3 linked regions of the Bombyx mori genome follow. The protein of the gene in region 1 purifies or fractionates together with the protein of each later gene. This does not show direct contact. Links are inferred from orthologs where the notes say so. Each region holds a gene or a part of one and is shown on either strand. Other genes may lie near its edges.

Region 1 (4,154 bases):
TTTTTAAGTATTTAAGTACAGCCAATTAACATCAAAAAACCTTTTTAGAAGGTAGGTAAGCATTGCTTAGTTTACAGCAATTTTAATGATTGTATACATAGCTCATGTTTTAAATATTTTCATTGTGCAGAAAGAAACTATGAAGTATTTTATTAGTTATAAAATATAGTAGAAAAAATATGATCATGAATATTTCGATTAATTTTTTTAACATTATTGATATCATTAACATCAGCCCACAGACATCCATTGCTGTAGATGGGCCTTCCCCAACATTTTATTAATAGTCCTGTTCATCCTGCATCCAGAGAAATCCCATAACCTTTAGCAGGTCGTCGGCCCATCTTGTGGCAGGCCTACCTATGCTGCACTTTTCAATTAAATTTCAGTAAAATTTCCAGGGGCTGTCAAAGATCTCATCCCAAAAGTGCAGTGTTTCAAGGCAAAATACTATGACCAGTGTGTGTTGCTAATGACGACATAATAATATGGCAGTAACAGACGTATTGATGACATTTAAAATACTTTACTATTTGTAGTCACCAATACTGTCCATTAATTTTCCTTATCACATCTTTCAACTGTCTTTCATTTTAACCAAGTGCTATGCCATAGACTGTTCAGGCCATCATTATGTAGATGATCTTTTACAAGTTCAATTATAACTAGTCAGGTCATAAGTATTGTCACACAGTAAAAACTTTTCTTTTAGAATGCTGGCCACAAAAAAGTTTATTGAATTCGAATTTCGAATTGTTCATGAAAATAAAAATGTACACTTTTAGAATTTTACTCATTTTTAAATATGGAGTGGATGCTTAAAGAAGACCGTGTTGCAGTTATTGCGTTGCATCGTTGCGGTTACGCGCCAATTCAAATTTTTAACAACTGAAAATTTTGAATATAACCAAAAGATTCGTTTATCGTACCATCAAACGATACAATGAAGACTCTAGTGTAGATGACAGGTCAAGAAGTGGTCGCCCTCGGTCTGTTAGGACTCCAACAGTGATAAAAGCTGTGAAGGCGCGAATTCAAAGAAATCCCAAACGTAAGCAGAAACTGTTGGCCCTTCAGATGGGGTTAAGCAGAACCACGGTGAAAAGGGTGTTAAATGAAGACTTAGGGCTTCGGGCATATCGAAGAAAAACAGGACATCGTTTGAATGCTCGTCTAATGGACCTGAGACTGAAGATATTCCGCGCTTTGTTGAAGCGGTACGCGGGAAAAAAATATCGGGAAATTCTTTTTTCGGATGAAAAAATTTTTACCGTAGAAGAGAGCTACAACAAACAAAATGATAAGGTGTACGCACACAGTAGTGAAGAAGCGAGCAACCGTATTCCGCGTGTCCAACGAGGTCATTTTCCATCCTCGCTCATGGAATGGTTGGGAGTTTGTTAATGGGGCTTAACAGAGGTACATTTTTGTGAGAAAGGTTTAAAAACGAATGCAGTTGTGTATCAAAATACAGTCCTGACGAACCTTGTGGAACCTGTTTCTCATACCATGTTCAATAACAGGCACTGGGTATTCCAACAAGATTCGGCGCCAACTCATAGAGCGAAGAGCACACAAGACTGGCTGGCGGCGCGTAAAACGACTTCATCTGGCACGAAGACTGGCCCTCCTCCAGTCCAGATTTGAATCCGTTAGATTACAAGATATGGCAACACTTGGAGGAAAAGGCGTGCTCAAAGCCTCATCCCAATTTGGAGTCACTCAATACATCCTTGATTAAGGCAGCCGCCGATATTGACATGGACCTCGTTCGTGCTGCGATAGACGACTGGCCGTGCAGATTGAAGGCCTGTATTCAAAATCACGGAGGTCATTTTGAATAAACTTTAGTGTCATAAGAATCTATGTTTTGTTAAGTTCATTTTGGTATATGAATGGTTACATAATGAATAAACTTGTTTTAATTATTTTACATTAAACATGTGACAGAATTTATGCTGACTAGGTACATAGCACTAACATAATTGTGGCAGCTAGCTATCATAGAACGCAAGGTAACTGACAGATGCCTGAATCTCGCTTACAACATTTTCAAGACAAGCTTGCATATATAACAACATTCGGACCGTCGGTCTACCGAGCAAACTCACCCGCTCGGTGGAAGATCTTCCCTTCCGTCATTTAATACTTAAGTATTAAGAAGTGCTTATAATGTGAAAACAATTCATGTTAAATATAACGTGGCCTTTCTTGAATTGCCTTCCATTTATTCTCAAGCGCTTAGGAATATTTTGTCTCAGTGTAGGGGGTACTGAGCAAAGTTCTAGTCTCGTAATTGAGCTCTTGAATTGTGGTTTGAAGAGTGGGCATGATACCGGTTGATATGAAGTCGTAAAATGATAAAAATACCTTAGCTGCGGCGGACATTGCTCGAGTTTGAATCTTGGCCTTGCGAGCTCCATTCCTGGTCACTATATTGGACGTTGGCGGCGTTACTTTCTTACTGTCACCGCCCGATCTACGAGACTGCGTCGGCGGAGGTGTAGCCTATTCAATACATAAATTACATAAATCACACTAAAACTACAACTACTGATAAGTACTATTCGAATTTTGAATTAATAATGACTCACCATTATGTTAACGTTTTTGTTTTGCTAAAACCATTTATTTTATTTACTGAAGATACATTGTTATCAACTGAATTTTTTAGCCAAAATATTTTATTGAACTTTAGTGATTTGTTTGTTTTTGTGGAATATATGTCAAGTGCGGTTGGAGGTTGGATTCGGCGACCGATATTTGCAGGGGGGTGCAACTCCCATACAAAGGAAAAGAACATTCAACTAGCGTCATCTTTAGGAACCGGCGAGGTCATTTTTGAAACGTTTTGGCCTTAATGAACTAATAAACCCACTAGATGGCAGATACGAGTTCTGACTCAAAAAAAATATTAGCGTACTTTAAAGCAGTGCTTCCACTTTTAAGGAATTCTCCCTTTTTTAGGGAAAAATAGCTGATATTTTGGATGATAAAGACAATTTAAAAAATACCAGGATTTAGGATATTTCGGGGTAAAAAGCAAAGCCTATACTAGTAACTCTTGTGAATTTTAAAATAAACGATAATTAAAGTAAAACAATGAACATTTTATTTTATGGAGAGAATGACATTAAGTCGAGTTGACAAGTAAAAGAATAAAACAGAGTTGTGTATAAAAACTATAAAGAAGGTTTGATTCAACAGTAACCCTCTAGTAAAGTAAATCATAGATTAAGCCACTGCTTTTTTCTTAGGGATTCCCCAGAATCCCAATAAGTATAATCCGCCAAATTTTTATTTACCTATTTTCGTTGATGTCACCAGAACTTACCTGTATTGTAATATACAGGTACTTCATGTACCATGAAAGATTATCATGGTAATTTCATTTACGAAAACCTTGTAATTGTCATTTCACTTTTGCTAGCAGTTCCTTCTTCAAAGACTGAGGTGGAAAGATTATTCAGTGTTCTCAAATGTAAAAACTGACAAAAGAAATAGGCTTTCTAATGAAACCCTGAACGGCTTGCTTCATAGAAAGTTCCCAACTTTGCCAGCAAACAATTGCTCAATTTTAGAACCGAACAGTGTTAGGTTGCGTGCAGCAAAAGAATATAAAAGCAATGCGTCGACTTCCTTGAAAATTCTAATCCTATAGATCTATGATCTTCTGGGGGCGTTTATATTATATATACCTACATTAAATAATATGCTGTGGTTTATTTTCTGTATTTTATTTATGCTTTCTATATCAAGGATTTATGAAAGTTGTTTAAGAAATTTTAGGGATAAATTCAAAAGAAACTAGGGTAAAATGTGGTAAAAAAAACGTAAGTGGAAACACTGCTTTGAAGTTTTCAAAATTCCAGGGCCGTAAAACAATCTCAAAAAAAAAATAAGTTTTCAAAATGTCGTAACGCTTTAATTTTTTAAATCGTTTTTTTTTTATCTTGGTGTGAGTTATTTTACGTTGTAGTATTAATTTAGAGCAACTTTTAGCTTTATGAGAATATTAGACGATTAGACATTGAGAAACTCTGTTTTGAATTCTCTTTAGACATAACTTGGCTCCAATACTTTTTTCTTCGTTAGCGTTTCGTAAGCCTGTGTAACTATTTTCATTTCTTACAGAAAGTTTATTATTAAAAATC
Region 2 (2,841 bases), on another chromosome or scaffold:
TCAAAGTAGGATACAGTTCATATCCTGTGGTTAATAAATAAAATTTACTAGTGGTAGGACCTCTTGTGAGTCCACGCGGGTAGGTACTACCGCCCTGCCTATTTCTGCCGTGAAGCAGTAATGCGTTTCGGTTTGAAGGGTGGGGCAGCCGTTGTAACTGTACTGAGAACTTAAAACTTATATCTCAAGGTGGGTGGCGCATTTACATTGTAGATGTCTATGGGCTCCAGTGACCACTTAACACCAGGTGAGCTGTGAGCTCGTCCACCCATCTAAGCAATAAAAAATAAAAAAACATGTGTGGCAAAGTACAAAATGGCTTATACAATTGTAAAGTGAATTTCGAAGCGACATCTCAGGGGCACAATCAAACCGTACCGAGTGCATACTGACCTGAGTGTTGTTATTGAGTTGTGTGAGGCATATGAGTGAATGCATAACGGTTTCCCTGGCGGCCAGCACCAGCATCTCTCCGGGGAGGTCGCTGAACGCATTCACCAGCACTCGCATTGTCAACATTATGTTTGCCGGTAGGTTGTCTGTAAAATACATGAAATGTACAATATTAGCAATATAAGCAAGCATTTTGAAACATTTTGAAAGTTATTTAAGCTTATTGAACACTACAGGAATGTCTGAGAGCGTAAAGCATGTGTTATTATGTTAACTGTGAATAGAGATGTGATAAAAAATGAAATTTGTCGAAATCTCACATTCATTTAAAAACAGAACGTTGAAGGTGACAAAAAAAATTTTAAAAAAATTATCATTTTAACTCGTACGATATTATTTCTTATCACACCACAGAAATAGTATAACGTTTGAAATCCCCGCGTTATATAGGGTAATACCCGTGTTATACGAGCAACTAAAATCGCGTTATAAGAGTACCGTGTTATAAGAGGGCTTATTATAATTTTGTGAATACGTATCAGGACGCGACGTTTGTTACCTGGCGCCAACAATGTGAGCAGATACTGGACAAAGTTCGGTCCGTATTTAGTGTCGAACATCTGTGCGTTGATCTGTTTGTTCCGGACAGCCAGCCTTGTTACATCCAGTACCGGGAACAATATCTCTGGAAGCAACAATGTTCCACATCAGATACCAGTTTCGAATTATTATTATTTTTTATTGCTTAGATGGGTGGACGAGCTCACAGCCCAACTGGTGTTAAGTGGTTACTGGATCCCATAGACATCTACAACATAAATGCGCCACCCACCTTGAGATATAAGTTCTAATGTCTCAGTTCTATAGAAGTTCCTACCACTAGTTTCGAATTAACAGCTTTGTACTGGTGGTAGGACGTCTGCTGAGTCCGCACGGGTAGGTACCACCACCCCGCCTATTTCTGCCGTGAAGCAGTAATGCGTTTCGGTTTGTAGGATGGGGCAGCCGTTGTGACTATACTGAGACCTTAGAACTCTTATCTCAAGGTGGGTGGTGGCATTTGCGTTGTAGATGTCTATGGGGCTCCGGTAACCACTTAGCATCAGGTGGGCCGTGAGCTCGTCCACCCATCAATGCAATAGAAAAAAAAGATTTTACCTTTCGGCCATTCCAGCATTTTCTTCAATAACGTTAACGTTTCAGGATCGTGAGTGCTGTTCTGAAATAAGTAATTATAAAAAAAAAGTTCTTTATTAAATTACTAAATGACGTCATACGGAATTTTCTTGTTATTTGCAGAGGAACTCTTCATAGATATCAGAAAGTCTATTTCCTAATTTATTTCGGGGCACAAGACAAAGTCCTCAATTGCTTGCAATTGTAAAAATGCATTATGCAATTGTCTGAGATTTCTATCTAGATTGTTTTTATTGCAGTGAGAACTTCTTTAGCATCGTTGTGATTTGAAAGTCGATGAAACGAAAAAGCGACAGTAAAAAGAGACAGACACATATATTCATAAGATCATTAAAGTGGGACAAAGTGAGATAGAAAGCATTATTGTTTCTTATATTCTTGGTATTCTCTTCTGCTTCGTATCTAATATTCGTACTAAATACATTCTGAATGAATCTATGTAATTAAGATATACGAATAAAATGTAAAATAATTATCAAACTTTGAATCACTAGTGATCATTACTAAAACCTACAATTATCCTCTTCCCGAAATTTTACATTCGTCTCATTATGTTGCAGAAAATTTTTTAAAGGTTTTACTTCTACCACGTGTGAATTGCTCACGAGTTCTTTATTATTATTTGGATCAGCCTTTCCCAAAGTGGGCGATAACGCTGCTTTGTGAGCGCTGCGAGCCAAAAGAAGGGGGGTAAGGGACCTAGACAAATTATGGGGGCGTTGTGTAGAGGTTTGGGAGGCGATTTGTATTTTCATCTAGGGGGACTCTTAGAAACCGCTTAATCTCTCGCTATAGTGGTTTTTAATAAATGGGGGCGCTAAAAATAATTTATTCTCAAAGTGGGCAGTAGACAAAATAAGTTTGGGAACCCGTGACTTAGATGATAGACCCGTCTGCACACAACTCAAGCAGGCCGGTAATACTGTACTCTAGAACTCTGTAGAACAAGCTAGAAACTCACCAGTTCTCCTAATTTAACAACGTTCTGTAGCTGCTCGTCCGATAACGGGTTATGGCCGTCGCCGACTTTACTGTTGAATTCTCTTAGTTTATCGTATATTGCCTTTATATTCGCCTGATCAAATCTGAAATAATAAAAAATCAATTCAAATAAATAAATAAAACAGATTCATAAACTGTCTTCTCTATTGAATAGTTAATAAATTAATTATTAAAATAAATAATAATACTATGAATACGTAATACATCAAGGTTCGTTAATTGAATAATTAATTTAAATCAGGTGCCCAG
Region 3 (3,500 bases), on another chromosome or scaffold:
CCAAAACTACTGATGCTACCTCCAAACTAGTTATTTCTTACGCTGCGCGGCAAAGAATTAAAGGTTGCAGTTTTAGTGAGAATTGATTAGGGTAAACGAAGGTGTGATAAATTTTATTCAAATGTAAAGATTTTCAATATGATCTCGAGAACTTTGTTTATTTCAGGGAAACCCACAGACGTTGCGCCTGATAAGCCTGTTGCTGAAATAGACGCTCCGAAAACGGAACAAAACCAAAAAATTAAAGTATTAACTACTCCGGCGGTGAGAAGAATCGCCGCTCAATTTAAAGTATGTAATTAAGTATATTTATTGTATACATAGATAAATGAAAGAGCATAAGAATAAAGAACTTAAATTAGATTCGTCATAAACACAAATAACGGGTATTTTTTTGGAGATCGGTGACCAGGCGACACGTGTTACACGGTCGAGTGTCATACACTGATTCCAGTTTGGGTTTTAACGACAAAGAGATCTTCCAACAAGCGGGCGAAATTGTTCGGTAGACCGACAGTCCGAATGCTATTTTTTGGACTCTCACCCCTTCACACTTATCATGAATATGTCGTTAACGATATTCAGACATCTGTCAGATGTATTGTGTTTTATGATAGCTACCCGCTACATATCGCACATACGATGCGAAAACGTAACTTATGCAAATTATATAATTTTTCAGGAGAAACGTTGGAAAATTCAACATCTTATTATATAATTCTTATAATAGTTCTGCTGCGCTATAGAAATAAAATGATAATATTTAAACTACAAAACTTCAAAAGCAAACATCTCTCTCGTCTCACTAATAACTATTAAAAAATGTATTTTCTTATACTCAGTTCAGTGTTACACAAATTGCTTAAGTGACTTTATAGCACAGTATGTGCGATATGTATAAAATTCAAAGTGGCTTAATGTTAGCGCGTTCAGAATGCATGAAAAAATATTTAAAATATCGGTTTAATGACGTGGGTATCTATACAACAATATCACTTGATTTAGAACATCCGAAAATATTTGTACATTGAAAACAAAAGGTATTTCAATTTCTTGTCTAAGCATTTCATTATTTTTGTTTTCTTTATTGTTTATAGGTAGACTTGAGTGCCGTTAAAGCAACTGGCAGAAACGGAAGAGTTCTCAAGGAAGACATGTTGTCTCATTTAAACATTAACTCGGATGACTCGAACGAAGTCGTATTACCTGGTAGTGTCAGAGCTGTAGAAATACCAGTTACAAAAGCGCAGGCAAGAGTAGAATTAGCTCTCGAGGATAAAGTTGTCCCTGTTACCGGCTTCCAGAGAGCAATGGTTAAATCTATGACGGAGGCCATGGTGAGTCTTAGCTTATAGTAGCGTAGTGTATAGCAGCGCCATTTCATCTCTTTCTCTAAATATAATTAAAAATAAGAAAAGAAATAAGAATTCACTGGGCAGCAGCGCTCTATATGAATAGATGATTAAACCAGAGTACTATGACCGCCAATTAATGGTTACTGGATGGTTACTGGTAGAGCGTATTTGATACCTGCTCGGGTGGTTAGTACCTTCCTACTTGTTTTTATGACATCTGTTTTGTAATACAACTGAGATTTCGATCAAATCTCACCACATTTCGTTTCAAGGCAGGTGGTAGGCTTCACGTTGCTATGTCAACGGGTACCTGAAAACACTTTACACCAGGTGGACGGTAAGCTCGTGTGTTGGACAAACTATAGTGAAGTGTTCCTTCCACCTATAGTGAAGGTCAAAATAATTTGTCACTCAGCTCTTAAGAGCTGCAGAGTAATAAACGCTCAGATCGCAAAAACCACTACCGTCACTAAAATATTAGAATGTTTCTCTTAATATCCATAATCTCATTTATTTTTCACTGTTTCGCTTCGAGTAGTTCCGATTACTGACTGACTGCGTATCATCCCTGCAACGCTTTTATAGTCGATACCACATCCCTAAAGTTATTGAGAATATTCCACACATCTCTAGTATTGTTTCCGCTATCTGACAATAGATGGCGTTGTACTTCTCGAGCGTTCTAGGTGCTACTAGATCCTTCGATATTCGTTCGACTATTCGGCGATAGATGGCGTTACTCTTACCGGCGTAGCAATATAAAAAAGCTAAGGCCTTACGTATAATACGTAGGGTTTTTGTGTCATCTCGCTAGTGCTTAGAGGCCTTTGCGGTATTCAGCGTCTGCATTAACTTGTTATACAGAAAATCTAAATTAGGGGCCGTCGACCATCAGACATTTGAAATTAAGCAATTCCGCCGCATTCTAATTCATCATTTTTTCCAGAAAATTCCGCACTTTGTATTCAGTGACGAGTACAACGTCACAAAACTGGTTGAATCGCGTGCAGCACTCAAAAAGCAAGCGGAAGAACGTGGGGTTAGACTAACTTACATGCCGATCATCATCAAAGCGGCATCTTTAAGTTTGAGCTATCTACCCATTCTCAACAGTAGTCTCGATAGCTCCTGTGAAAATCTCATTTACAAAGCAAGTCATAACATAGGCGTTGCTATGGATACGCCCAACGGATTAGTCGTACCTGTTATCAAGGTATATAAATATCTTAACTCGTCTTATCTTTAATGTTTGATCCGGTCAAATGGTTATACGTTTCGTTATTTTCAGAACATCCAAATTAAATCAATATTAGAAATTGCACAAGAGTTAAATACATTGCAAGAGAAAGGATCGAAGGGGCAACTTGGATTGAATGATCTCACCGGAGGGACATTTACAATATCAAATATCGGAATTGTGAGTATTGTTATTCATCTCAATATCAAAGTAAATCTATGGTTTATGTCCTAAACTCCTTTGATACATTTCCCGACAATAGAAGCATAATCTATAAAGTACGACAGCACAAAGTTCCTTATTCCGATTCGCCAATATTTTTCTTTTCTTCTCGGCTGTAATGCTTAGATCTATTATTGCAGAAAAGAAATTCAAAGCTTGGCCACATAATAAAGAGTTGTTTATGCATGTATGTAATGCATGTATGCATGTATGCAATATATTTTAAATGGAATCGGACTATATATTTATCATTGCCTGGTATTTGTTCTAGAATATTTAAAGTCTGGCATCGATCCTAAGTCTATGTCAGAAGTTCAGCCATTTAATTAGAATCTCTAATTTTGACAAATCAATATTCGTATAAATTTCTCCAAATAAGAACACTACGCAAAATACAACGAACCGGTCGCGATTCATCGGCATTACAATAAATGTACTTTATTGTATTCCATAATAATGTAATAAAACCTAAGCATATGAAGTGTAATTTTTTTAACAAAATATTTTCGTTTTTAGGTTGGAGGTACTTACACGAAACCGGTGATATTCCCACCGCAAGTTGCAATTGGAGCATTAGGAAAAATACAGGTTAGTAGTGCGTAGCTATATTAATATTTAGTACGTTACTGGGATTGCAAAACGATACACCGCAACAACTTCAATATATCGCACCTTTAGAATTGAAG

Evidence for each region. The genes of interacting proteins can lie anywhere in the genome.
Region 2: the proteins of histone deacetylase 6 (region 1) and phospholipase A-2-activating protein purify together in Homo sapiens (affinity purification with mass spectrometry; 4 studies listed by BioGRID and IntAct, with this or other methods). This does not show direct contact. The link is inferred for Bombyx mori from reciprocal best matches to the Homo sapiens genes HDAC6 and PLAA.
Region 3: the proteins of histone deacetylase 6 (region 1) and lipoamide acyltransferase component of branched-chain alpha-keto acid dehydrogenase complex, mitochondrial purify together in Homo sapiens (affinity purification with mass spectrometry; 3 studies listed by BioGRID and IntAct, with this or other methods). This does not show direct contact. The link is inferred for Bombyx mori from reciprocal best matches to the Homo sapiens genes HDAC6 and DBT.

What each region holds. Positions count from the first base shown.
Region 1 is NC_085111.1:17,635,353-17,639,506, reverse strand, and holds the start of histone deacetylase 6, read right to left. Parts: upstream 2,801-4,154; 5' UTR 2,598-2,800; coding exon 2,595-2,597; intron 2,509-2,594; coding exon 2,371-2,508; intron 1-2,370.
Region 2 is NC_085128.1:4,435,013-4,437,853, reverse strand, and holds part of phospholipase A-2-activating protein, read right to left. Parts: intron 2,676-2,841; coding exon 2,552-2,675; intron 1,613-2,551; coding exon 1,552-1,612; intron 1,079-1,551; coding exon 953-1,078; intron 540-952; coding exon 394-539; intron 1-393. UniProt on the Homo sapiens protein: Plays a role in protein ubiquitination, sorting and degradation through its association with VCP. Involved in ubiquitin-mediated membrane proteins trafficking to late endosomes in an ESCRT-dependent manner, and hence plays a role in synaptic vesicle recycling.
Region 3 is NC_085128.1:9,592,937-9,596,436, forward strand, and holds part of lipoamide acyltransferase component of branched-chain alpha-keto acid dehydrogenase complex, mitochondrial, read left to right. Parts: intron 1-166; coding exon 167-291; intron 292-1,097; coding exon 1,098-1,337; intron 1,338-2,301; coding exon 2,302-2,568; intron 2,569-2,643; coding exon 2,644-2,772; intron 2,773-3,330; coding exon 3,331-3,402; intron 3,403-3,500. UniProt on the Homo sapiens protein: The branched-chain alpha-keto dehydrogenase complex catalyzes the overall conversion of alpha-keto acids to acyl-CoA and CO(2).